Neurospora crassa OR74A: one gene and its partners. The protein of the gene in region 1 purifies or fractionates together with the protein of each later gene. This does not show direct contact. Links are inferred from orthologs where the notes say so. Each region holds a gene or a part of one and is shown in the gene's direction. Other genes may lie near its edges. The genes, in order: NCU00925, NCU05235, NCU07839, NCU07795, NCU09380, NCU06272 and NCU08595.

Region 1 (4,161 bases):
CTGCTGGCGAAGGCGCACGCTCAACCCGCCAACATATGACGACAAATGCAGCCAAAAGACGGCCAAGAAGAATGAACGGAACGAGTCGAACATCTCGACAAAGAAGTACCACCACAGGCCGATATTGGGGGCCAGGTCAGACAGTGTAAGTTGCACACCATAGGTGGAACTAAGGAACTCCCATGAGCCGGTCAGGAAGAACGACATTTGGAAAAGCACTGCCAGAGCACCAAACGCATCCATAACCATGGTCGCGGTAAACTTGATCCACGCATTGGGCGCTCCGGTAGCGGGCAACTTCTGCCTGTCATAGCAAAGAAGAATGAGAGGCGGGAGGAGGAGTAGCGGATACATGGAGAGGTATGATGCGAAGGCTAGGGCGACCATGGCGTGAAAGGGTCTGCCGGAGATGGCATTGGCGACGGCGTGGAGAATGGCACAGGTCGTGAAGACGGTGGTCGAACGCCCAATGCATGTCGCGATGGTGAAGGGGTTGAACAGGAAGAGCGCGGCAATGATGGCACCACTCCAACGCTTGTCACGGCGCGGGGAGGTGAAGCGCGCAGACGAGCTGGCCTCGCCAGACTCTGCAATCCTTAAAAGAGCATGGGCGCTCAGAATATCGATAGCGATGTAGAGAAGGTACGTGAAGATGGGAAACGCCGCGAAGCTCGGGAGCAAGTTGAAGATGGGCAGCAAGAGGGGCGCCTGGTGGTAGACGCCGCCATCGTAAGGAGAGACGTTATGGTTATACAGGAAGAGGCCTTCTTGGACTAGATTTTGGTAGTTAGCAAACCTGTGTTCCTCGAGACGATGCGACGAATGCCGAAGAGAAAAACAAAAGCTACAACATACGGCGCTTGAAGCTTGTTACTGGCGTTGAGATCTCGACACGGCCAGTCAGGAGGTCTGGAAGACCGGGGAACAGAGTAAAGAGGGCAAGTCGCAGGACGGCAGCACCGGCGTATAAGCCAGCCGTCCTCCTCAACGTTACCTTGCCGCCATTCATTGTTCAATTCGCCATACGACGAGGTGGGAGCTGTGATGTCGAACTTGTCCCAGGGTCAAGTTACTTCTAACGACATGCCCGTCCAGTTGCGCTATACAGGAGTCGCGCCCAGCACGTTAGGTCGCCTTGTCAATCGCTGTCCCCGCCAAAGCAGACCGACAGCTGGCCCGGCCTCCACAGCTGGCGGGTCCCTGTGGGACAAGGGGTTCTGGAATCCAATCCAGACGGGAGCGGGAACCTATCTGGGCCAGACGGGCCCAGTATGTATTCTAGTAGCCTCATCTGTGCCTATCTGATGCCTCCCGTCTTTCCATCCGCTACGTTATCTTATCTTTGATCAGCTCAGGCGGTGGGAAGTGGCATAAAAAGTTCAGGACCGCGAGGGTCAGAAAAAAAGTTGATTGCAAGTGCACAGAGCGCCCCCACCTACAATTGGCTTCGATAACGATCGAGTCTGCAGACTGAAGAGATCCATCCTTGGTCCTCTTCTCCTTCTCTCACTCTTCCACCTACACCCAACAACCACAACCACCACCACCACACCCCAAAATGCCAAAAATCAAGAAGAAGGGCCAGGCCGGCGCGGCCAAGAACTACATCACCCGCACACAGGCTGTGAAGAAGCTGCAGCTTAGCCTTCCCGACTTCCGCAAGCTTTGCATCTGGAAGGGTATCTACCCGCGCGAGCCTCGTAACAAGAAGAAGGTTTCCAAGTCGGCCACTGCCTCGACCACCTTCTACTACACCAAGGACATTCAGTACCTCCTCCACGAGCCCCTTCTTCAAAAGTTCCGTGACCAGAAGGTGCTCGAGAAGAAGATCTCCCGTGCTCTTGGCAGAGGTGATGTTTCGGATGCCGCCCGCTTCGAGCGCCATGCTGCCCGCCCCGAGGCCACTGGCAAGCCCAGGTACACTCTCAACCACGTCATCCGTGAGCGCTACCCGACTTTCAACGACGCGCTCCGCGATCTCGATGACTGCTTGTCCATGCTCTTCCTCTTCGCCAACCTCCCTTCCACGAGCGCGGTTCCCGCCAAGATGATCGCCCGCTGCGAGCGTCTCTGCCTCGAATTCCAACACTACCTTATTGTTTCCCACAGCCTGCGCAAGTCGTTCCTGTCGATCAAGGGTATCTACTACCAGGCCAACATCCAGGGCGAGGATATTCTCTGGCTCGTTCCCTACAAGTTCAACCAGAGGATCGTCGGCGATGTCGATTTCCGCATTATGGGCACTTTCGTCGAGTTCTACATGACTCTTCTTGGATTCGTCAACTACCGACTTTACAGCTCGATCGGCCTCAAGTATCCTCCCAAGTTCGACCAGCTCAAGGACGAGAACGGTGCTGAGCTCGGCGCTTTCTCTCTGGAGGGTGTCAACATGGCCACCCAGGGCGAGACCAAGGCCGTCACAAACGGGGAGGAACAACAGCAGGGTCCTGACCCCAAGGTCCAGGCTGAGGTTGACAAGATTATCAAGCAACTGAAGGAGGACGAGTCCAAGAGCGACGAGACTGCCGAGGAAGATGCCGAGGCCGACGATGAGGAGAAGCCCACAGACTCCATCGACAAGTTCGAGCCAGTTGCCCCTGGTGGTGATGTTCTTCCTCAGCCGGCGTACAGCAGCAGTGACCCTTCGCAGCTGTTCGCCAACTTCACATTCTACCTCTCCCGTGAGACCCCCCGCCAGCCTCTCGAGTTCATTCTTCGTGCCTTTGGCTGCAAGAGGATAGGCTGGGATTCCGTCCTCGGCGAGGGTGCCTTCACAAATGACGAGTCGGATCCCTCCATCACCCATCACATCATTGACAGGCCAGTCGTACAAGCCGCTACCAACGAGGATGGCGATGGCGAGGACAATCAGACGGCCCAGAAGGTCGGACCCAACCAGAGATACCCCGGCAGGATATATGTCCAGCCCCAATGGGTATGGGACTGCGTCAACGACGAGGAACTCAAGAGCCCTGAGCTCTATGCTCCTGGCGCCGCTCTCCCTCCCCATCTTAGCCCCTTCGTCAAGGCCGCCCCTGGCCAGTACGATCCTACTCTGCCCCTTGAGGCTCAGCAAACCGAGGCCGAGGCTATTGAAGCCGACCTCGAGGATGCCGAGAAGGGTAATGCTGAGGATGGTTCCGATGTCGAAAACGACATGGATGTTGATGAGGCCGAGGACGATGAAGAAGAGGAGGAGGGTGACGAGGAGGATGCCGAGGAGGCCGAGGAGGAGGATGCTGAGGAAGATGAGGAGGAGTCCAAGACCCTCCAGCGTCAGCTTGAGCTAGAAGCCGAGCTCCAAGGCAAGAAGGTGCAGAATACAAAGGTAGACTCCAAGACCAAAGCCAAGCTAGAACAGCGCAAGGCTCTTGAAAAGAAGGCACGCGAGGAGGCGGAGGACCTGGAGCGCGCCAAGGGCATGCTGAGCAAGAAGAAGCGCAAGCTGTTTGAGCAGATGCAGTATACCAACAACAAGAAGAGCGCTCAGGACGAGAAGCTCCGCGCCAAGAGGAGAAAGCTGGAGAAGGAAAAGGCGCAGAAGGCGTAAGGTTAAAACACTGGCAAGGCGTAATTTTTTAGCACTTTATGTTTTGAAATGGGATACCAAAGGCTCATTTTTCTCTTTTCTTTTTGTGTAATCGACAAGTTTTGAATCCTACTCGTCGTCCTGAACTGATGCAAATGTGAATAATCGTGACATGAAAACGAGCGCCCACGAGGCTTTCGTCTGAGGGTTAGGGGTCGCTACGAACCAAACCGTAACGCCCAAGAGAAGTTGGAACGAACCGAAAATAGGACCAACGAAAGGTGAGAGTACAAAGTAAAAGAATTGAGTGAGGAGTCAGAGGTTCATCAGTTTCTCCATCCTTGTTGCTGTGGTACTACTACTGGGATGCTTTCGTACGTCAGTGCGGTTCTTCGACCTTCAATCTCTTGTCACTCCCGTCCTTAGTGATTGATCACCAGAATTTGCACTCAACAACCCTGCCAACGCGGGAAGAGCACCCACTAAACTGGGCCATGCAATGTCTTCACACTTGAATCAAGAAGATTCCGGCGACGAGGATTGGGATAAGGACACTGAAGAGATTAATTCCATCGCATCAGATGAACTGCACGAAACCCGCCCCAATCGGTGGAATGGGGCCCCCTCCACAT
Region 2 (3,356 bases), on another chromosome or scaffold:
GTCTAATGGCACCACGGAGCGAGGAGTGGTCCGGTGCGCGTGTGCTGTGGCTGGGGGAGGAAGCAGTAGGTGTTGGGTTTGTAATTTTGATCCTTTGTACATTTCAGTAGATACCAAGTTTGAGAAGGAAGATTACGGTGAACCGCATGGGATAATTACCGACAAGAAACTGGAAAGAGATAGCGACATCTTGACTTTCCTATACTTAGTGTACGGTTTGTATCAGGAAAGAACGATCTCGGGACCCTTACTGTCGCAGGGCAGGAGCTAGTCTGGTGGAGCCTCAGGGGAACCCGACTCCACTTTTGACGCTTTCCCCGGATTCCGTCCCCGCATCTTTGAGTTAGCGCTGTGGATCTGATGGGGCTCTCGGTCAGCACCCGACCCTCAACTCCGCTGTGAGTGAGATGAAAGGAGCACTGTGATTGGGGAAGGAGTGAGGAAAGTCCATTGCACTTCAAGTTCAATCTGAGAGACGGAGATGCGTTATATCAACCAAGTGTCAAGGAAGACCTCTTTTTGTGTAAAGCCTAAGTAGTCACCTTCAACAGACACTGGCCTACTGCCGACGGAGTTTCCATCACAGAAGGTCTTGATCATTGTGAGAAATGACAGACAATTCAAGATCCGATTTCGCCACAGTCTCCGAGAAGAACTTGACGCCTTCAGTTGTAACTCGAATAGATTCTTCAGACATGGTAAAAATTGCAGTCACGAACACCGATGATACCCGGTGTTGAACATTGTAGAGGGTGTCAGACTTTAATCGTTAGCAGTAACTGATGGGAAAGAAAGAGAGTGGAGCTAGCAATGTTAGGGTCCGCGAGAGTCCTGTTAACAGAAACCAATGCCATCTTGGTGACTGAACATTGTCGCGAAGCGAAAAGATCGTGAGCTCAAGAAGTATTGTTGGATGGATCGGGGAATATACTGATTTGGGAAAAGTAAACATGCCCGTCGACTTGAGCATCATGGCCATCGCTTGTCGAGAGAGCATCGAAAGTAAGCAGCCGCAATTGCCGGCCAACTTACATCGAGGAATCGATCATCGGGAACCATCATTGTCAAATCAAGAGAAAAGAACCGTCTGGGCTGGCGTATATGCACGCTCAACCCTAACCCGAGTCTTGTCGGCTGATAGCACGATAGCGCTAAGATAAGCCAAGCGTCCCCTCCGCCCCACTTTACTTTTCCAACACCGACATCCAGAAATTTTCAGAAGCGGCGCCCTTGACCGTTTCGCTGTTGTTGACTTTGTTGCTTGCTTCCCCCTCTCCTCCCCCCCCTCCCGAACAGACAACGAGCCCATCCTCACCCGGCTCGCTGCTTCTCTCCTCAACCACCACCACCACCACCACCACCACAACCACCCACATAACCCGTCAAGATGCGTGTCGATCCCTGTTTCTTTTGCGGCCGTCCGGCCTGGCCCTCCAAGGGCATTACCTTTATGCGTAACGATGGTATGTTTTTGTCATACTTCAGTTCCCCATCATCAACCTCTCCGTCAAGGCCAATTGCTAACCAGGGTACAACTAATGTTACAGGCAAGTCCTTCCGCTTCTGCCGCTCCAAATGCCACAAGAACTTCAAGATGAAGCGCAACCCCCGCAAGCTCAAGTGGACCAAGGCCTACCGCAAGAACGCCGGCAAGGAGATGGTGGTCGACAGCACCCTGCAGTTCGCCGCCCGCCGCAACGTGCCCGTCCGCTACGACCGCGAGCTCTTCGCCAAGACGGTCAAGGCCATGGAGCGTATCTCGGAGATCCGCCAGCGCCGCGAGCGCATCTTCTACAAGCGCCGCATGGCCGGCAAGCGCGCCCGCGAGGTCGCCGCCGCCCGCAAGCTCGTCGCCGAGAACGAGCACCTCCTCCCCCGCCTGCGCGGTTCCGAGAAGAGGAGGCTGGCCGAGCTCGCCCAGGAGACGGGCCAGGACGTCGAGGAGCTCGAGCGCGAGGAGCTGGCCAAGAAGGCTGCCAGCAAGAAGACCAAGGCGTTTGGCGGCGAGGTCAAGAGGCTCCGTGTCAGGACAGACGGCGGCGTGGAAGAGATCTCGGAGCGCGTCGCTGGTGGAGGCTTGGTCGATGAGGATGACGATGACGAGAACGATTTCGAGGACGTGGACGATGACGACGAGATGGATACCGACTGAGCGCCCGAGTCTCTGTAACTATTACTACCGCGACCACCACCACCGCCAACCACCACCACCACCATCACCAACACCGAAACCAGCCACCTCTTTTCTCGGGATCATTCGTTGTTTGCTTGTTTTCTTCGGACGAACTCGCTCCCGCGGCTGTCGATATCCCTATGCGGGGGAGGGTTCTGCTGTATTTTTTCGGCGGCCTTTCCTCGCCACTGAGACCTGCCTAGTTGACACCAGCAACAAAGCCCAACTACGACGAACGGGTCTTGGTGTATAAAGACGGAACGACCAGAAAGAGGACAGGACAGACAGCAATTGGTTGACCAACAGCCAATACTCTAACTGTAAAAACAGTAACTGTGGCTTTGGACAGACAGACAATCCTCCCCCCCGAGCGATGGCTGCTTTCGGGGCTTGCTTATACCCCTTGCTTGGTTGGTTGGTCGTTGGTCGCTACAGGTCATTGGAAAGATTCATTATATTCAGAACCATGGTTTTCAAGGGGGGGATCAATCAGTCTACCTTTAGTAGCAAAGCATATTTTCGGTTTTATTGGAATCGGCGAATTTGGCGTTTAATAGACACGGGGAGACCCACAATATGAAGTACTTGTTTGTTTTTTTCTTTCTGCCATGTCTTGTCTTGTTTTATAGTAGTAATCCTCAGTACTTTCTGACTCGACAAGTTACTCGTTTCTGTCTTCTGCCAACGTGACTGACCTCTGTAGCTCGAGACCTGACTAGGTATCCTAGCCAAGGATATATCCAAGGTCAATCTTGGACTACTACCCGTTCGTTGATTCCATCTTGCACTCAGTCGACAACACAACAACTCTAAACAACACCTAAAAGACACAGTTGGTTCAAGTCGGTAACTAAATACAAAGTATTATATCTTTTATCATTTGTATTATTATAAGCGTTAAGACCCGACAAAACCAAACCAACCCCTTCCTTCGCATGCTAATGCTCCGATCGCCTTGCTTTAGCCAGCCAGCCAAACCGTAAGCACAAAGCACAGCCAAGTTTCTCATTATAGTTTGCTTCCCCATTTGTCAGGTTGTCTAGCCCACCCACCTCTATTTCCCTCCCCCCACCCCCCATCATCATCATCATCAAGTTCCATCTCATTCTCTCATCATATATTTACCCCATTATATCGTTAACCTCGTTAACATCGTCAACATGATCATCATCCCCATTGCTGT
Region 3 (3,970 bases), on another chromosome or scaffold:
GGAATACGCTCGACACAGCTTGTACCTGTGACAACGGTAGTCAAGGCACAGCAGCACTGACTGAGCGACAACCCATAGAATGCGGGCTCCGTCACTCGCTACCTAAAAGCTCACCAATCCATCAAAGACTTGCATGGTTTCCTTATAGCAAAGCAAATGCCTCAATTGAGAGCTGCCATCAAGGCCCATAATCGTCAACGTCGTCATCATTATCAGCAGCAGCATCAGCATCGTAAGCGAAACGGAAGAAGAGTATCAGGGGGGGCCAAAGGAGGACATGGAAGAAGCAGCGAACCATGATTTAATCCAGCAACACCGTACCATTCACTTGGGCATGGAGCAGTTCGAAAAGGACCTGAAGAATTGCAGGAGCAAAGAGAAAGCGTTTAGTCTGCTGGTGCTGGAGCGTTTGGATCAGGAGGTGGAGGAGTTGGGGCGGAGAGGAGAAGATGAGTAAGTTTTGGGAGTTTGGAGGGGACGGAGAGATTGCTGTTGTCCGAAAGAAACCAAGAGGGCAAGTCAGGGAAGGGGCTTGAAGGTCGTGAGTAGTGTAGTGATCGAAAAATGTTTCAGGACATGGAAGTGGTGGTTTGTGTTGAGAGAATGTGGCTGATGGTGGTGGACTAGACCAGGCGGTGGTGATGGATTTATTGCCACTCTTTGTGTACGCAGTAGTGTACATCCTGGTCGGCTGCGGAACGGACTGGAAGTTGCTGCTCCCAAAGTCTTCAGATGAGGTGGGAGATGGATGGCAATATGAGGCCTAAGTACGGCTGTATACACGTGTAGAAACATGCTAGCATCGAGCATGGACATGTATGTGAACAGGCAACTCCTATAGAATGTGGTCAAGATTACAGATTCTCTTTTCCGTTCCCTGACAGCTGAGGTGAGCGACGACGGATGATTGCCCAACAACCGCGACGCGCAGCAAAGACTGCCAAGCATAATCCGCCAGTGAAGCAAGAACGAGAACCCTTCTGGCAAAGCGGAGTCGGTGAACCAGGTGACGCCAATTCCCGCAAAGGTGGACTTCTGCCTGATTGATAAGGCCACACATGCCTTATCGGCGCTTTATCTGTGCTTATCTGTGCTTGTCAACAGTGAAAGAATGCAGGCCCGCCAAGTGTTGCCAGTCGGGTCCAGTTTTTTTTTTCTCTGGTGCCAGACCGCCCCTACATGGAAGTCTGGGGGACAGGTACGGCAATGCCCGGTCCCCTCAAATCCGCCTTCGCTGTAACGACTGCAGTGAACTGAAGGGAAGGGAAGAAAAAAAAAATATTTTTCTGGGGCACTTGCACGCAAGGGACGCGTTGCGCCTTCCGCCTCCAACAAAAAGAAAGACTTTTTCTTCCCGCTTGGAGGCGAGTCGGGTCTGGCACAGGATCCGCATCTCACATCCACTAGCACTGCACAGCGGAACCCACCAATCCTCCATCGACATCTCCCTTTGGTCAGGTTCTTTTCCCATACTAACCTTACGTGACGGGTCCTTGTCCAGTGCCCCCAGAGTTTTTTTCGTTTCGACTTCCGTCCAGAAAAACTTGCACTTCACCCTTCGCAGCAGCCCTTTTCTTCCTTCCTTCCACCCACCCTCCATCTCCAATATCCCTTCCCGCCTACTTCTTGCGATTCTGCAAGATTCTTCATCCGCGATCCTTCTTTAACCAGTCGGACTGCTTACTTGTAACCACTTCACGCGTGTCGTTTGGTTCTTGTCTCTAGACGTCTGTCTTTTCCGACGTCTTCTTTTCCCGACAATCGATACCCTTGCGCCTCTAGGCCTTGTTTGCTCGTCGTTTCGGTCTACCCTTCAGCAACCCCAATAACAACCGATCTTCAATTTTCAACCTTTTCTTAAACAACCAGCAAACATGTCCGGATCTTACGGCGGCGGCGGCTACGGTGGCCGCGGTGGCGGTGGTGGTGGATATTCTAACGGGTACGATCGCAATGGCGGCGGCTACTCTAACAACTACTCCTCACACGGGTATGATGTTTTAGCGCGAACCTGCTCATTTCCTCTCTCTCTCTCTCTCTCTCTCTCTCTCTCTCTCTCTCTCTCTCTCTCTCTCTCTCTCTCTCTCTTTGCATTTCAAGATCAAATTGCTAACATCTGGTTCAACAGTGGCTCGAATGGCTACGGAGGCGGCGGCGGAGGATATGGCGGCGGTGGTGGTGGCTACGGAGGCGGCGGCTACGGTGGTGGTGGCGGCGGTGATAGGATGTCTGCTCTCGGTGCTGGTCTGCAGAAGCAGAACTGGGACATGAGCGCTCTTCCCAAGTTCGAGAAGTCCTTCTACCAAGAGCATCCTAGCGTCGCCAACCGATCTCCTGCTGAGGTCGACAAGTTCCGCGCAGACCACTCCATTGCCGTCTTCGGTAACAACGTTCCCAAGCCTGTCGAGACCTTCGACGAGGCTGGTTTCCCTCGCTACGTTATGGACGAGGTCAAGGCTCAGGGTTTCCCTGCTCCTACTGCCATTCAGTCGCAGGGCTGGCCCATGGCCCTTTCTGGTCGCGATGTCGTCGGTATTGCCGAGACCGGTTCCGGAAAGACGCTCACCTACTGCCTTCCCGCCATCGTTCACATCAACGCTCAGCCTCTCCTCGCTCCCGGCGATGGCCCTATCGTCCTCATCCTCGCCCCTACCCGTGAGTTGGCTGTCCAGATTCAGCAAGAAATCTCCAAGTTCGGCAAGTCGTCCCGCATTCGCAACACCTGCGTCTACGGTGGTGTCCCCAAGGGTCCCCAGATTCGCGATCTTTCCAGGGGAGTCGAGGTCTGTATCGCCACCCCCGGCCGTTTGATCGATATGCTCGAGTCTGGCAAGACCAACCTCCGTCGTGTCACCTACCTTGTCCTCGATGAGGCTGATCGCATGTTGGACATGGGTTTCGAGCCCCAAATTCGCAAGATCATCGGCCAGATTCGCCCTGATCGTCAGACTCTCATGTGGTCTGCTACCTGGCCCAAGGAGGTCCGCAACTTGGCCGCCGACTTCTTGACCGACTTCATCCAGGTCAACATCGGTTCCATGGATTTGGCTGCCAACCACCGTATCACCCAGATCGTCGAGGTTGTTTCCGAGTCCGAGAAGCGTGATCGCATGATCAAGCATCTTGAGAAGATTATGGAGGGCCGCGAGAACCAGAACAAGATCCTCATCTTCACCGGCACCAAGCGTGTCGCCGACGACATCACCCGCTTCCTCCGCCAGGACGGCTGGCCCGCTCTTTCCATCCACGGCGACAAGCAACAGAACGAGCGTGACTGGGTTTTGGACCAGTTCAAGACTGGCAAGAGCCCTATCATGGTTGCCACCGACGTGGCTTCTCGTGGTATCGGTATGTATCCATCTTACCCCTCCGCCCTGCCCAAACCCCTCCCCCCTTCTTCTCTCCCCCATCTCAGGCGACTTCCAGCATACGTACGTGCTTGTGCTTTACTCTTATGTCTAGGGGCTCTCTTGATTGCGCGAACTTGCCTGACCTCGTGTCGACTTGGTCTATCTGAGTGGAGTCTTGGGTTCGTGACGTAGCAGAAACAGTGGACTATGCTACGCCCGCGTGATTCTTCAATTGTACCTTTTTATCCCAGTTGTGGTACAAGCGAGGAGTAGGCATTTCTTGATTCCCGTCAAGCTTGTCTCCAAGATTCCCAAGGGGATTTGCATGCATGGCCCAAGGATCTCTGGAACCTTGGATCCCAACCCGGCATATTTTTCGCAATGGACAGCCCACCTGCCAAGGAGAGAAGTACTACCAGAGGATCACAGAACATACCTAGATATTCGTGTTCTCCGTCCGTTCTGGAATGTCGTTATTCCAAACCCTGCTATTGCTAACCACGGTCCTTTAAAAAAAGATGTGCGCAACATTACTCACGTGCTCAACTATGACTACCCCAACAACTCCGAGGATTACATCCATCGTATCGGCCGAACTGGTCGTGCCGGTGCGAAGGGTA
Region 4 (3,053 bases), on another chromosome or scaffold:
GGATATCATGACGAACCCGTAACCGTGTGCTGATATCCCACCTTTTCACTTGGCGTTGTTCCATCTCTGGAAATGAACAAGTTCATGACGTGCTTTGCTTCTACAGCTCACATCGAACTGCTTCTGCTCCATGGCAATGGTGTTTTATGAGACCGTGACCCAATCACTTACACGCAAAGTTGGGAGAAGCGACCTAGCGACAGGAAGGTGCGAAGCTCAAAGTTCAGGACCTGAGGGCACCGATCCAATACTCTTCCTCCAATCGCTCACCCACGTGTCACTACCTACTAGTAAATGGCGCGAGATGGCAGGCAGTAGCAGCTTGGATGCTCCACGGATTTCTAATACATCGAACCTGGTCACTCCGTCAGGAAAACCTGGCTCGGGAAAGTAGGGAGGTACATGTACTGTAACTGCAGAAGCGTGCCTCTTGGATGGCAGAAGCTGTGTTCTGTAGAGGAAGGTATGTACAGCAAGATAAGAGGTATCGTGCATGGAGCCGTAGCGATCGATGTAATGCGAACCAATTCAACGGTGGCAGTCGGATTCATCTAGGTTCCGCTTGCGTATGTCCAACGTGAATTAACCTGTAAAACCCGGAATTGACGTGCATTACTTACCTAATCGAGCTCAGGTATATCGTCATGCATCGTTCGACTGTAAATGATGTTCAAAAGTTTCAACATTCAATTGGTCGCCGAAGTGCAACATGCTCAGACAAAGGTCTGTACATTATGCCGACCGCTGTTCATCGAGGTGCTCAGGTTCGGTCCAGGGGCAGATCAACTTTGTTAGGTCTCGTCGCTGCCGCCCGTTTGTGAGTAACGTGTCCTGAGACCATATGCTTGAGATCGTATCGATCCAAAGCGCGAAATGTGAAACACGTAGACAATTTCATACTGTTCGATAATGTCAATGTCGAGTTGTCATGGGAAGAGGTTGTCGTCGAATTGAGCCGTTGAAGTCACGGCTTACTAGGGTTAGGGGTGATTCTGATGACGGCAGAGCGGGTCCACCGTTCATCCCCGCTGGGCTGCCCTTGGTTCCACCAAGTGTGGGGTTGACGCAAGACAGGGACAGGGACGCAGGGCATATTGCCGGCCGCGACCGCCAAAAATTTCTGAGTGGAGAGCACCTCAGCAATTGGGAAGTTTCGAATGGAGGGACCTGCACTCCGAACCTCGACCATCTCGGCAGCACCTCCAATCCGCGATAAACAATTCTGCCCGTATTTCTCCCCCTCGGCTTGATCAGCTGGCAAATCGATCCCAAACACAACCACTATTCCATCTGCTTAATTCACATACAACCTACATCCAATCAAACCAGACACACACACAATCACAACCATGGGCATCACCAAGCGCAAAGAAGGCCCCAGCAGCAAGGGCAAGCCCGTCCGACCGTCCAAGAAGCAGAAGGCGCAAGCATTGGCCGCCTACCACAGCAGTTCAGAGGAGGAATCCGACAACGAGCAGCAAGATGTTGAAGACCAAAGCGACGAGGAGGCCGGCACCTCCGCCGTTCCCGCCCACCTCCTCGACTCGGACGACGAAGACCTAGACAACCTCGTTGCCGACGATGGCGCATCCACAGACGAAGAGCAAGCATCCGACTCTGATGATTCCGAAGCCGAACAACCATCAAACAAGTCCTCCAAGAAGTCGCAAACAAAACCCAAATTCGTCGCCAAAGACGCCCCAGATTCCGAAGACGACGAGGACGACTCCCTAGACGGCGGTTCCGACCTGGGCTCCGACCTCGACGATGAATTCGACCTCGACGGCTCGGGTGATGAGAACGGCAACAGGAGACAAACCAAATCCAAGCGCAACGATCCCGACGCCTTCGCCACCTCCATCACCAAAATGCTTTCCTCCAAGCTGCCCGCCTCGCGACGCGCCGACCCCATTGTCGCGCGCTCCGCCGAGTCTGCAGCCGCCGCCAAGTCCCTGGTCGACGCAGCGCTCGAAGCCAAGGCGCGCAAGCGTTTGCGCGAGCAGAAGCGTCTGGCCTTTGAGAAGGGTCGGGTGCGTGATGTGTTGGTCCCTAGCAAGACTAGGACGCTCAACATCCAGACGGGCGAGATCGAGGAGATTCCGGATGGAAAGGAGGGCGAGCAGACGACGGGTCAGATTCTGGAGACGGAGAGGAGGCTGAAGAAGACGGCGCAGAGGGGTGTGGTGAAGCTGTTTAATGCGGTTAGGGCGGCGCAGGTCAAGGCGCAAGAGGCGGAACGGGCGGCGAGGCAGGAGGGAATCGTGGGTGTGAAGAGGAGGGAAGAGAAGGTTACGGAGATGTCGAGGAAAGGGTTCTTGGACTTGATTGCGAGCGGTGGTGGGGGGTTGAAGAAGGGTGGCTTGGAGGAGGCTTAAGGGAATTGCATTCTGGTGTAGAGGGGTGATTGTTTATTGTGTTTGCATATTGTCAAGGTCTAGGCTATTTTCTTATATACAACCCCGTGCCCTTGATCTGGGGCAAACAGTTGAACAACGTACAAGCCCCATGCAGAAGTATGAACAGTCAACATGCTCTTGCCAATCCGTCATATCCATCAACATGAACATTGCCCATCACAGATATCCGATAAACTCTGCGCTGAACGCCGTCGCCTCAACAATCCGACAGAAATGGAATAGATGTCGTGTTTGTGCCATATATATTCCGTCGTCCGTCTCCATTTTTCTTTACACCACAGTGAATCCCCTGCCCCTTCACCTCTACCTTCTTCTTCTTCTTCCTCCATGCTCAACCCTTCATCGCCTGATATTACCTCCCCCCAATCCCATGTCATTCATTCCATGACGGCACGGTCTAGGACTTGAAATCACTAGCCTGCAAATTCCTCGTCATGCTCGGCAACTTGACCACCAACCCATCCAACTCCTTGGTCATGTGCACCTGGCACCCCAGCCGGCTCGTCTCGGTGAGTCCAAACGCCAAGTCCAACATGTCGTTCTCGTCGTCGTCGGGCTCCGGCATCCGGTCGTACATGTCCTGGTCCTGCACAATGACGTGGCAGGTCGAGCACGCGCAGGAACCGCCGCAGGCGC
Region 5 (4,178 bases), about 3.2 Mb from region 1:
ATGGCCCCAACTGGCTTCGTCTCGTTTGTCTTCTAACCATACCACCTTAAGCTGAGGCGTCTTTTTCAGGCAAACTTGTTATGGCATACCCTGGAGTCCGGTTAAGAGGGGTAAAAAGTAATGTTCAGGATTGGTTTTCACATGGGTTAGGTATACTTAGAGCGGATTAAAGCCTACAGCAAAGAATTAGATAATTTTGGCGAACGTGATAGAGGGCTTACGATTTGTCTAACGGTCCTAAACCGTGAGTTTCTGGACCTCTTCCACGGGGACGTCATCATCGCCTTCCAGGTCCTCATCACCCTTCCCAGCCAAGCCCCTCTCCCAGAGTTGTTTGCCCGTGAGCTTGACAGGCTCCTTTATCCTTGCCTTCTTCATCTCGGCCGCCTTTTCCTCTTCCTCCTTGATTCTCTGATCTTCCAGTTCCTGCAAGAAACTCTCCCTCCACTTCAAAAAGGTTTCGCGATTGACGGGAGTGCCCTGGAACTTCTTGTTCTCTTCGCGCTCCGCGGCAAGGGCGGCCTCCTCTTGCGCCTTGATGGCAGCGTCCCTCCGCTCTACTGCCAGTTGCTCCGCAGCATCCTTCAACGCCGACACAACAGTAAAGATCATGGCCATCCCCAAATTCTCTTCAATTGTCTCTTGGATACCTTCGAGCAGCTGGAACCGATCGTCGGCAATGTTTATGTACTGATGGGGCGGCGCATTTGGGGCGGACGCAAGCTCAAGGAAAGGTGGCTTGTCGGGATAGTCTTCGGGGTACCGTACGGTAAGTACCATGCTTGGTGTTTCTTCGGCATCATCATCAGGAATGTCCAGCGTGATAGTAATCCGGTATTCGGTATCGGAGATATCTAGACGAGTCGAGCTTGGGTTAGGACAGGCCCATGCCTGAACGGCAACCGATGTGGGCGAACAATCGAACCTTGGATCTCATCTGGGAAGATGGAGTCGAGGACTTCCCTCTCTTCAATTTGTTCTTCGCGGCCCATGATGTCCAATCGGTAGGGCGCCTTTCAAGTTTGCAGTGTGCTGGACGACATAAAACGTGAAAGACTCCTTCCAAAAGTGGGTGCTGGCAATGTTGACTTTCAGGCGTTTACTAACCTAGAGAAGAGGACGGGAGGGGCAACCAGACGGCATTGCAGTGACTGTAGCGTCAGGTGCAGGCCAAACTCCAAAACGCGAGCGCGGCTCAATCTATGGTGGGGGTCCTGCCTGGGTTCCTTGTTATATCAATGGACAGTTCTAGACAGTGTCGATCAAGTCGCCCCACCACAGAACCCCGGAAAGCTTCTCACCGCCCGGCAGATGCCAGGATGCGGATCCAGAAATTTTCAGCGGAAAACGTGCTACAGAATTTCCAATTCAGAGGCTTCAGATACAGGGCACTCCAAAGTTTCGGATTCCCGTCTGAATACCTGCACTTTCACATATTCCTGCTCGACCATCACCTTTGAACCAGCGCCCACCCAGTACGACGTCAACACGAGCCCCCCATACCTAGATCAATCCTTCATATCCCGGAGCAACACAGACATCGCATAGCATCAATGGCGACCAAGTCGTCTTCAGCAGCCGCTGCCGGCGGAAAGAGAAAGGCGTTCGGCAAGCATAACGAGGATGGCCGTACAAAAGCAGTAAAGACCACTTCTGGCAAGAAACACATCAAGGCCGAAGCCGAAGACAATGAATCCTCCGATGAAAGCTCAGACGCCGAGTTCCACACAGGAGAGACCACAACATCCACGCCCAATGAGTCCGGCAATGGCTCCAACGAGACCAAGTCTGGTACGTTGTCTCTCTTTACCATATCTGCCCCATGATGACCGAACCTCGCTCTGTTATTTGACTAACACAACGCAGGCACAAGCTCCAGGGAGGCGCACGCCAAGCAAAAACAACTCGCCCAAGAACGCAAGAACGCGAAGCCACTGGCCGATGAGGTGCACCGTACCAAGAAGCTGTGGGAGAAGCTCCGTCGCAAGTCGCATGTGCCTAAGGAGGAGCGCCAACAGCTCGTTGAGGAGTTGTTCACCATCATAACTGGCCGCATCAAGGACTTTGTCCTAAAGCACGATGCTGTCCGTGCCGTCCAGACCGCCGTCAAGTACGCCACCCCGGTTCAGCGTAGGCAGATTGCGAAGGAACTTCAAGGAACCTATGCGCAGCTCGCCGAGAGCAGGTATGCCAAGTTCCTGATCGGCAAGCTTCTGGTGCAGAACGACAAGGAGATCCGCGACATCATCGTCCCCGAGTTTTACGGCAAAGTTCGCAAGCTCATCAACCATGCTGAGGGTTCCTGGATTCTGGACGATGTCTACCGCGGTGTTGCGACCAAGGAGCAAAAGGCCAACCTCCTTCGCGAGTGGTACGGTCCCGAGTTTGCTCTGTTTAGGCAACCCAAGGGTACCGAGGTCACTGGCGATCTCTCCAAGATTTTGGCTGACGAGCCCAGCAAGAGGACAACGGCGATGAAGTACCTTTTTGACATGGCCAATGGCCTCATTCAAAAGAAAATGACTGGTTTCACCATGCTCCACGACGCTCTGTTGCAGTACTTCCTCAACCTTAACCCCGAAAGCGAAGAGTTCAAGGAGTTCTTTGAGACTATTAAGGAGGATGAGACCGGCGACTTGCTCAAAAACATGGCATTCACCAAGTCTGGCGCCCGCCTCGTGTGCTTGCTCCTTGCGCACGGAACCGCCAAGGACCGCAAGCAGCTGCTCAAGGCCTACAAGGACACCTACCAGCTCATGAGTGGTGACAATCACGCGCACGCGATCATCCTCGCCGCCTACGATCTCCTTGATGACACTGTCCTCACGTCCAAGACGATCTTCTCCGAGATTCTTGGCAAGAATGAAGAGAAGGATGCCGAGCACGTCATCTTTCTCGCTAACGACCTCAACGCGCGCACGACGGTATTATATCTCTTTGAGGGAATGTCCAAAGCGTTGTTCCCTGCCAGCCACGCCACCGACCTGGAGATTCTGAAGGAGATTCACGAGATCCGCACCAAGACCAGCAAGAAGGACGCCGAGGTTAGGCGTAAGGAGTTGGTGACGGCCATGTCGCCTCAGCTCCTTGCGGCCATCGCAAGCTCACCCGCCGACCTGGTGGCCACCTCTTTCGGTTGCCAGTTTGTTACTGATGTTTTGCTTTCGGCGACTGGAGATAAGAAGGCCGCGTTGGAGGCTATTGCCTCTACTGCCGGTGGCGATCCCAACGCTGAGGCGCCCAAGGATGCCTACCAAGCTCTTCCCCCTCACATCTCGACAACCATTCACGGTGGCCGCATGTTCAAGACACTGATTGCTGGCGGCCGGTTTGACAAGGCCACAGGCAGCATCCAGAAGGTCGACCCCCCGCTCAACTTCGCCGACCTTCTCTATCCCGTCATCAAGGACCACATTGTACAATGGGCCACCGGCCCTAGCTCTTGGACGGTGCTAGCTATGCTCGAGGCTTCCGACTTCTCATCGAAGAAGGAGCTCCTCAAGACCCTCAAGTCCAACAAGAAGGCCCTTATCAAGGCCGCAACTGAAGCACCGGCGTCGAAGAAGGAAGAGATGGAGGAGAAGCCAAAGGCTAAGAAGGGCAAGAATGCTTCTGCCCCCAAGGGCAACCAGGGCTCGAAGCTCCTTTTAGAGAAGCTCGATGCCTAGGTTGAGGAAATTGTAGGCGTCGCATGGCTATAGTGACAAAAGTGGACGGTAGCCACAGGTTGACTAAATACCCCTTTTATGTTGTTTACTTTGTCAATGCGATTTTGTTGGGCCCCGCGTAATTTGCGGTTGACTGATAGCCCTGTTTACAAGTCTGGACATGTTATATATGATTGCATAGAGAAAAGCTTGCTTCCAGACTTCCCTGATGGTTCAGATATGACGCTTGAAACAGGCCGTGGCCTACTTGGAGTGAGGTAAATCATAATTAACCAGACAGGAGCGAGACAACTTTCTTATATTCGCCATTCCGGACCTTGGAAGGCCTTATTATCATACGACCTTCACATTGAACCACTTGTACCACAATTTTCGAGGGACACAACCTCCCCATATCAACATGGCGTGTAGAGGCAAAGTGCTGTGCAAACATTTTGACTGCGGCACCAAGACCGACATATATCGGGTTCACCGTCACTTGATGGCTAAGTGCCGCTTGGAAACCGAATA
Region 6 (4,215 bases), on another chromosome or scaffold:
TCCGCCCATGATTGTTTCACGGGCGACTTGTGTCGAGGGTGTCGATTTGCGTGGCCATGAGCCATACCAACTCCGAGATTTCTGGGGCTGCGAGTCTGTTAGCATCGGGTGTAACAGGCATTAAACAGGCTGGATATGGTGGCTGAAGAGAAATAGGCTACCTCTTTCAGCCCTCGCTTGCTCGAAATAGGAGTTGTATTTGCGGTCGCATTGGGCTGGGATGTTGATAGAGCATTATCAGGTGTCGAGGTCGTCGTCGACGAAGGTGGGTTCGAAGCGGTCGGCATTGGAACGGCTTTTGAACGCCATATAGAGGCTGCTAGGCTCGAGGACGATTTCGGCGGCATATCGGATGTGGACGTTGAGGACTCGGTGACAGCACTACCATCCGCCGGCTCGGTTGGAGGGTTTGGTTTCGCCTTTTTTCGACGACCCATGGTGAAGACCATGGCGAGCAAGGCCAACAACCTAACAGATTCCAGTCCCCTAAGATTATAGGGCAAACTTTGGCCACATTGCCGTTTATTTCGTCAAGTTGAAAGGATCGAAAATGGGCATGCGACGAGTATTGCGTGGCGCCTATACCGTAGGGACAAGTCGACAAGCCGACGAGGCACCGCTCAGGCTACAAATCCGATGTGTACTTCTACTTACACTACACGGGTACCGCCGGCGGGGAGGGAGCGCTTTCATCCATTATCAAAGGCTCCAGCTCGGATGCATGTACGTCATTTGCCAGGTAGCGCACAGTCCAGGGGAACCGGATAGGTAACGAAGTACCTACACTTTATTACCTGGAGAGGGGGACCATGTGAACGAATGCTGATGTTATTACAAGTACCTACTTGATGGTCTAGTGTAGTATCAAATTCATTCTTCCATCAGACTAGAATGATATTCCAATACCGTACGATCCTAACATCAGACGACATGTTAAGTGTAGGTAGGTACCTCTAGACAATTGTACATCCCGCCTTGGAGAATTATATGTACCTCGCAATGGCCAATAGGTAACTCATTGATAGCACGTTCTCAGCAATCCCCTCTATCTCTAGGGTGTAGGTACCTAACGGCCTTCAGTACCCTACCTCTACTTACCGTGTACTTCCCTGCAACGCATGCGGCTGGCCCGTTGGCTGCCCGTCTCCGCCCGTGCAAAAGGTTCGGTACGTACCTGGCCATGAACGTGACAGCGTCCTGTCAGCTGACGCCGTGGCACTCGTGGACACAAGACAGGCGCTGCTAGTACCCCTACAGGGGAACCCCGCAAGACTCAGAACCCGCAACGAACCGACATGCACGCGGCCCGCGTACCTAGAGATGGCAGAATCGTAGCCGATGCTCACCGCATTCCTTATCGTTATCTGGCCACGGTGAACGGCGACGGACCCACCAAAAATTTTCGGCAGCGGACAGTGGAAGCGGCCTGGGTCAGTTTTTGTCAGTGCTTGTCGATTCATTCTGAAGTGTGAAGGCGGGCAAAGGGACGAGGGATCCAGTGCGGGTATCTCTCCAATTGCAACTCCAAACACATCCGTCCATCCATCAGGTCCTTTCTTTATACCCATCAGTTCACAATGGGTGCGCAAAAGCGCAAGGAAGGCCCGGGCGGCGCCCCAGTCAACAAATCAACACAATCAGCCTCCGAATCGAGACCGTCAAAGAGACCAAAGTCCAACGATGCCGGCAGCAAGGCGGGCGCAAAGACGGGCAAGCAGGGCAACAAGCCGGCTCCCAAGTCCGACAAGCCTGCTCCTCCTGCTCCTACCGCCCCGGCTACATCTACGCTGCTCAAGGAAGAGGAGCCAATGTTCCCCAGAGGCGGCGCCAGCATCCTGACACCTCTCGAATACAAGCAAATCCAAGTCCAGGCCAAGAACGACGCCCTGTTCGAGGAGCAATCCAGCAAGGCCACCGCCAAGAAGGCTGGTGAGAAGGAGGGCAAGCAGAAGAAGTCCAAGAAGAGGTCAAAGTCCGACGACACACCCGCGAAGCCCGATGCGGACGCCGTCAAGGTTGAAAGTCTCAACTTCAAGGTATGCGCCGGAACACTCATGGGTTCAGTCCTATCATCCAAGTACTAACTGTCCGCAGCGTCTGGTAAAGGGCTCCTTGGTCCTTGGTTCCGTCTGCGCCATCAACTCTCTCGACATCGCCGTTGCTCTACCCAACAATATTATCGGCCATGTCCCCATCACTGCGATTTCCGCCCCCCTAACAAAACGCTTGGAGGCCAGCGCCGGTAACGACAATGCCGAAGAGTCAGAAGACGAGAACGACAACGACGTTGACCTCGAATCCCTCTTCCAGATCGGCCAGTATGTCCGCGCCTACGTTGTATCGACGGTCGACGAGGCTTCTACACACACCCCTGGAAAGGCCAAGCGCCATATCGAACTCTCCCTTCAACCTTCTCTCGCCAACACCGGTATGGCGGAGCAAGACGTTGTTGTGAACAGCACAGTTATGGCCGCCATTGCCAGTGTGGAGGACCACGGTTATGTTATGGACATCGAGATCGCCGATTCGAAGTTGCAAGGTTTCCTTGCTCGCAAGCAGGTCGACAAGAGCATCCCCCAGGAGGCTCTGCAGCCAGGTGCCGTCCTCCTCTGTATCGTCACCAAGAACGCCAAGGGCAAGGTCGTTCAGTTGTCCACATTGGGTGAAACCATGGGCAACGTCGAGAACGTCCCTTCGACTGCTACCACCATCGACACATTCCTCCCCGGTACTGCCGCCGACGTGCTCGTGTCCGAGGTTTCCAGCCACGGAATTGTTGGCAAGATTATGGGATCGCTGGATGTCACCGCTGATCTGGTTCACTCTGGCGCTGGTCCGGATGGCATCGATCTTGAAGACACATACAAGGTCGGCTCTCGTCTGAAGGCCAGAGTCATCTGCAACTTCCCTACTGCAAAGCACCCCAAGCTGGGTATCTCTGTACTAAAACACGTTACCTCGTTGAAGCCAAAGACTGCTTCCAAGGACGACCAACCAGTGGTGCCATTGCAGGCTCTCCCTCACTCGACGATCGTGGAGAAGTGCACCGTTAAGCAGGTCGAGCCTGAGATCGGTCTTTACGTCGATGTTGGTGTCGAGGGCGTGTCTGGGTTTGTGCACATCTCCCGCGTCAAGGATGGCAAGGTTGATGCCCTCTTCGAGAACAGCGGACCCTATAAGGTGGGATCTGTTCACGCTGGTAGGGTTGTCGGCTACAACGCCTTTGATGGCATGTATCTCATTTCCTTGGAGAAGAGTGTTCTTGAGCAGCCATTCCTTCGCATCGAGGACATTCCTGTCGGTGCAGTTGTTTCTGGTGTGGTTGAAAAGATGGTGGTCAACGCCGCCGGTGTTGGTGGCCTTATTGTCAAGATTGCTGACGGTATCTCTGGCTTGGTCCCCGAGATGCACTTCGCTGACGTTCACCTTCAGAACCCCGAGAAGAAGTTCAGGGAAGGCCTGAAGGTGAAGGCGCGTGTGCTCTCGACTGACGCTGCCTCTCGCCAGATCCGCCTTACTCTCAAGAAGACGCTCGTCAATTCCGATCTTCCTGCCATCCAATCGTATGAGCAAATTGCTGTTGGCCAACAGGCGCTCGGTACCATCATCAACGTCTTGCAGCACGGTGCGATTGTGCAGTTCTACGGCAGGCTCCGTGGTTTCTTGCCAGTTTCTGAGATGAGCGAGGCCTACATTCAGGATCCCAAGGAGCACTTCCGCGTTGGCCAGACTGTCAGCATCTACGTCATCAGCTTCGACCCCGATGCCGCCAAGCTTATTGTTTCTTGCAAGGACCCATCTGCCTTTGGTCTTGAGAAGCAGTTGGCCCTCAAGAAGCTTCAGATCGGTGATGTGGTGTCGGCTAAGGTCACGCAGAAAACTGACGACGATGTTTTTGTTGAGCTTGCCGATAGCTCTCTCAAGGCCATCCTCCCCGTCGCTCACTTGACGGACAAGTCGGTCAGCAAGACTCAGTCTGCCCTCAAGAAAATTCACGTCAACCAGACTCTTGCCGAGTTGGTGATCTTGGAAAAGAACGAGGCTCGCCGTTCCATCATTCTCTCCCAGAAGCCCAGCCTTGTCAAGGCTAGCAAGGAAGGCAAGTTCCTTACTACCCTTGATGGTGCTCGCGTCGGAGATGAGGTTTCTGGTTATATTCGCAACATCACTGCTACGGCTGTCTTCGTCCAGTTCGGTGGCAAGTTGACCGCCTTG
Region 7 (3,613 bases), about 2.8 Mb from region 1:
TGTTGATTTGTTCATCGAAGAACCCCATCACCAAGCGACAAAATGCCTTTTGCCATTACTTTTCTTGACGCCATTTGAAGAAACATAGCCGTGAACGACCAAAACCTTTTCAGGATGATCGTACCATGATAGCCCACCATCATCGAGACCCCCCGTCTTCAAGACTCGTTCCATCAACCTCACGATATTAGTTACCTCTCTAGTCCGAGTCTCTGGCCCGAGCGCCTGCACGGAACAACCCGCATCCAAACCTCCTTCTCTCACCACACCCTCACGGGAACATGCTTCCAACGAGTTCACGAGTCACGACAGTTTACTTGCATCCCAGGCTTCTCAGTCGCGGGAAACTGCATAGAACTTTTCGAAAATGCATTCCTAATGCCCGAGTCTCCGAACACTCCACATGTACATACATACATACAGCTGCGGACAGTTTAAGTTTCAGTTTCAGTGGCATGGGCTGGGCTTGACGAGAATGCAATCGCCCTTTTTCAAAACCGTTGAAAAGTAGGTAGGTAGCTTCCCGATGGCATACATACCTAGTGACGGCGGAGGCGGAGGCGGTGAAAGGAGGAGTGCCGAGGATCCATGGAACAACGGTAAAAGAAGCCACCACGTGAATGGGATGCGTTCCGGAGGTTGTACGATACATGCAAAGTATGGATGGGATGGGTATGGGCTGTTTGGACGTGATGGGGAAAGAGACCGGGGAGTCTCATCAGGTTGGATGGATATCCTACATTTATGGTCCAGTCAAGACGACCACGAGAGAGAGAGGGGACATGGCGAAATAGATCATTGTGAGAGGAGGGAAGCTATACTGAACTGCTTCATGGTGTTAGAGAACGACAGGCCAGGTAGGTCCGTAGTAGGTGGATGAGAGCATTCTTGATGCTCGCCGGGAGCAATGACTGGAGAAATCTGGTTTTATGTCAGAGTAGAACGGTTTTAAGGAATCTGTATTGTGAACCCGAAGTGTAGAAGAACACCATCCCAATATGTTGGCTTCGTGTATTCAGAATCTTCTCAAGTGTGCTGACCTTGTAAGAGTGATGCCAGAGTTTTGTGATGTTGCTGACTTGGCAATCATATTGCTCAATGCTTGTTTCCCAAAGAGCAAGTGATTATCGAGTGATCAGAACAAGAATATGGAACTCAAGGTTGACTCCATCACCAACCTAATTGTGATGAGACGGCAGAAATGGAAATGATTTTGGTTGCCGTTGCAGTGACGTTGAGGCGTGAAATGGAATGGAACCTAACAGCCCGTGAACCCCTGAACGACAGGCAGGGGAAAGCCAGCGCCCAGTGGACGAGCGGACAATCTTGACCCCACCTGCCCCACAAAATTTCGAGTTCAAGGTCTCCTCTTATCGATAAGCGCCGTTCTGGAATTTCTTTGCTCGACCATCACGACGACGATTTGCAGGTGAAGGAGACAGTCCCCAGTCCACATCACCACCTTGCGGTACCTATCCAATCCACCCACTACCGTCATCGCATAACCAGACCGCCAAAATGCTCCGCCAAGTGTACGTCAATCGATCATGACAATGGAACATACCGAACATTAGCTGACAGTTCTCTTCTCCGCACAGCAAGCCGCGGACAGCCCGTTCCAAGAGGGCGCTCGAGAAGCGTGCCCCCAAGGTCAATGAGAACCCCAAGACCGCCCTCTTCCTTCGCGGCACCACCTGCAGCCAAGTCGTATGTCACCTCCTCCATATCCTCTCCTCCTATATATGATGGTATCATCAAAATCTAATACAGTCCGCAGACCCAAGATGCCATGCAAGATCTCTACTCGCTGCGCCAAACCCACGCCAAGCGCTTCCACAAGAAGAACCCCGTCCACCCCTTCGAGGACGCCAGCTCCCTGACCTTCTTCTCTGAGAAGAACGACACCTCGCTCATCCTCTTCGGCTCCAGCAGCAAGAAGAGGCCCCACACCATCACCTTCTGCCGCACCTTCGACTACAAGATGCTCGACATGCTCGAGTTCTACCTCGACCCCGAGACCTTCCGCAGCATTGCCCAGTTCAAGACCAAGAAGGTGCCCGTAGGCACCAAGCCTTTGATGGTGTTCGCCGGTACTGCTTTGTATGTCCCCCGATTCTTGTGACAAAGAGGAAGGAGTAGTGAATGAACGTCAGCTAACCGAGTACCACAGCGAATCCCCCGTCCCCAACGCCTTCACCACCGCCAAATCCATGCTCATCGACTTCTTCCGCGGCGAGCCCTCAGACAAGATCGACGTTGAGGGTCTGCAGTACTGCGTTGTCGTTTCCGCCGACGAGCCCACTTCCTCCTCCACCGATCCCTCGGACCCCTCGACAAAACCCACCCTCCACCTGCGCGCCTACCTGATCCGCACCAAGCGTTCCGGCCAGAAGCTCCCCCGAGTCGAAGTCGAGGAGCACGGCCCCCGCATGGACTTCCGCCTCGGTCGCCTCCAGCAGCCCGACGCGGACATGCTCAAGGCTGCGATGCGCAAGCCCAAGACCAACGAGGAGCGCACCAAGAAGAACATCAGCATGGACAGCATCGGTGACAAGATTGGTAGGATCCATATGGGCAAGCTGGATCTCAGCGAGTTGCAGACGAGAAAGATGAAGGGTCTCAAGAGGAGCAGGGATGTGGTGGATGAGGACTTTGATGATGCGGATATGCCGATGGAGGGCGTCAAGGAGGTCAGTGACAGGATCGTGGGGCCGAGGAAGAAGAAGGCGAGGGATGTCGTTGAGTTTTGAGTTGAGCAAGAGTAGGGAGACGGGAGAATGAGGGGTTGAGGGGATGAAGAAGAAGGCAGGCAGGGAGGAGGTTTAATCTTTTTTCTCTCACAATTGTTGCGATCATCCACCAAGACACAAGGCGTTTTTGGGAGTTTTTAGTTTTATTACTTTACTTTATCTTATATCATTGGCTGCTGCTGCTCTTGGGGAAGATGAACATTCATGCCAGATCAGATCATCAACAGAAAAGAAGAGATGACCAAAGCTGGAGTTATTGATGGATGATGGGTTGTTCGTGAAGTTGCCTTGCCAAAGCTTGTAGACCTAGACATCTATCTAGCATATACGTGATATTTATACCAACCAACATATGGGACCATAGGATCAACCGATCGACCGGCCGAATTTGCCGCTACAGCTTTGTTTGGAAGAATCTAGTATTGTCAGCACTCGCTGCCTACTATCACATGGCACTCATGCTATTTCCCTCTTCTACCTGGATACCTTGCTACCTTGCTACCTTGCTACCTTGCTACCTTGCAACTATCTATAATCATAGAAAAAAGACAATGCCATAATCATGTACAACCATAGGAAAACCTATGAACTATTCCCTGTTTCGATCTTTGGTTTGGAAACGTCTATAAGGGGTGTCGGTGAGGCAGTCTGCAGACTGATTTAGTACAAAATTATGAAACCAAATATCCATGCCGAGAACGATTGATTAGTGTATATGTTGACTGACTACAAGGTTATGAATGAAATGCCTGTACCAGAAATTGTGTTTGTTAGAGCAGAGTTGTATCAATCAATGATGGCTTCCTTATGCTTGTCTATAAAGAGACTAAAGCCAGTCCCACCAAAGAGTTAAGACTCGAGAT

What was found.
Region 2: the proteins of NCU00925 (region 1) and NCU05235 purify together in Saccharomyces cerevisiae (affinity purification with mass spectrometry; 12 studies listed by BioGRID, with this or other methods). This does not show direct contact. The link is inferred for Neurospora crassa OR74A from reciprocal best matches to the Saccharomyces cerevisiae genes NOP7 and RLP24.
Region 3: the proteins of NCU00925 (region 1) and NCU07839 purify together in Saccharomyces cerevisiae (affinity purification with mass spectrometry, with the first as the bait; 3 studies listed by BioGRID). This does not show direct contact. The link is inferred for Neurospora crassa OR74A from reciprocal best matches to the Saccharomyces cerevisiae genes NOP7 and DBP2.
Region 4: the proteins of NCU00925 (region 1) and NCU07795 purify together in Saccharomyces cerevisiae (affinity purification with mass spectrometry, with the first as the bait; 4 studies listed by BioGRID). This does not show direct contact. The link is inferred for Neurospora crassa OR74A from reciprocal best matches to the Saccharomyces cerevisiae genes NOP7 and RRP15.
Region 5: the proteins of NCU00925 (region 1) and NCU09380 purify together in Saccharomyces cerevisiae (affinity purification with mass spectrometry; 4 studies listed by BioGRID, with this or other methods). This does not show direct contact. The link is inferred for Neurospora crassa OR74A from reciprocal best matches to the Saccharomyces cerevisiae genes NOP7 and PUF6.
Region 6: the proteins of NCU00925 (region 1) and NCU06272 purify together in Saccharomyces cerevisiae (affinity purification with mass spectrometry; 8 studies listed by BioGRID). This does not show direct contact. The link is inferred for Neurospora crassa OR74A from reciprocal best matches to the Saccharomyces cerevisiae genes NOP7 and RRP5.
Region 7: the proteins of NCU00925 (region 1) and NCU08595 purify together in Saccharomyces cerevisiae (affinity purification with mass spectrometry; 16 studies listed by BioGRID, with this or other methods). This does not show direct contact. The link is inferred for Neurospora crassa OR74A from reciprocal best matches to the Saccharomyces cerevisiae genes NOP7 and RPF2.

The regions. Positions count from the first base shown.
Region 1 is NC_026501.1:6,705,681-6,709,841, reverse strand, and holds NCU00925 (pescadillo), read left to right. Parts: upstream 1-1,430; 5' UTR 1,431-1,558; coding exon 1,559-3,550; 3' UTR 3,551-3,661; downstream 3,662-4,161. Other genes in the region: gpit-2 (glycosylphosphatidylinositol transamidase 2), read right to left, coding at 1-773, 856-1,009; NCU00926 (hypothetical protein), read left to right, coding at 4,029-4,161. UniProt on the Saccharomyces cerevisiae protein: Component of the NOP7 complex, which is required for maturation of the 25S and 5.8S ribosomal RNAs and formation of the 60S ribosome.
Region 2 is NC_026504.1:5,664,218-5,667,573, forward strand, and holds NCU05235 (ribosome biogenesis protein RLP24), read left to right. Parts: upstream 1-1,237; 5' UTR 1,238-1,387; coding exon 1,388-1,463; intron 1,464-1,547; coding exon 1,548-2,152; 3' UTR 2,153-2,856; downstream 2,857-3,356. UniProt on the Saccharomyces cerevisiae protein: Involved in the biogenesis of the 60S ribosomal subunit. Ensures the docking of NOG1 to pre-60S ribosomal particles. Activates and recruits ATPase AFG2 to cytoplasmic pre-60S ribosomal particles.
Region 3 is NC_026503.1:1,036,299-1,040,268, forward strand, and holds the start of NCU07839 (ATP-dependent RNA helicase dbp-2), read left to right. Parts: upstream 1-1,170; 5' UTR 1,171-1,874; coding exon 1,875-1,990; intron 1,991-2,128; coding exon 2,129-3,348; intron 3,349-3,868; coding exon 3,869-3,970. Other genes in the region: NCU07838 (hypothetical protein), read left to right, coding at 278-453, 790-841. UniProt on the Saccharomyces cerevisiae protein: ATP-dependent RNA helicase involved nonsense-mediated mRNA decay and ribosome biogenesis through rRNA processing. Associates directly with chromatin, correlating with transcriptional activity.
Region 4 is NC_026505.1:268,821-271,873, forward strand, and holds NCU07795 (DUF1665 domain-containing protein), read left to right. Parts: upstream 1-1,180; 5' UTR 1,181-1,349; coding exon 1,350-2,375; 3' UTR 2,376-2,553; downstream 2,554-3,053. Other genes in the region: NCU07794 (2Fe-2S iron-sulfur cluster binding domain-containing protein), read right to left, coding at 2,815-3,053. UniProt on the Saccharomyces cerevisiae protein: Constituent of pre-60S ribosomal particles. Required for large subunit rRNA maturation, in particular processing of the 27S pre-rRNA at the A3 and B1 sites to yield 5.8S and 25S rRNA.
Region 5 is NC_026501.1:3,514,632-3,518,809, forward strand, and holds NCU09380 (pumilio domain-containing protein), read left to right. Parts: upstream 1-1,378; 5' UTR 1,379-1,553; coding exon 1,554-1,791; intron 1,792-1,866; coding exon 1,867-3,668; 3' UTR 3,669-3,894; downstream 3,895-4,178. Other genes in the region: NCU09381 (RWD domain-containing protein), read right to left, coding at 238-854, 926-992. UniProt on the Saccharomyces cerevisiae protein: RNA-binding protein involved in post-transcriptional regulation. Component of the ASH1 mRNP which transports the ASH1 mRNA to the distal tip of the bud, where the ASH1 protein is translated and targeted to the daughter cell nucleus.
Region 6 is NC_026503.1:2,145,392-2,149,606, forward strand, and holds the start of NCU06272 (mito ribosomal protein S16), read left to right. Parts: upstream 1-1,415; 5' UTR 1,416-1,577; coding exon 1,578-2,036; intron 2,037-2,094; coding exon 2,095-4,215. Other genes in the region: NCU06271 (hypothetical protein), read right to left, coding at 1-87, 162-449.
Region 7 is NC_026501.1:9,517,966-9,521,578, reverse strand, and holds NCU08595 (ribosome biogenesis protein), read left to right. Parts: upstream 1-1,416; 5' UTR 1,417-1,518; coding exon 1,519-1,532; intron 1,533-1,598; coding exon 1,599-1,707; intron 1,708-1,777; coding exon 1,778-2,100; intron 2,101-2,170; coding exon 2,171-2,750; 3' UTR 2,751-3,113; downstream 3,114-3,613. UniProt on the Saccharomyces cerevisiae protein: Required for biogenesis of the 60S ribosomal subunit.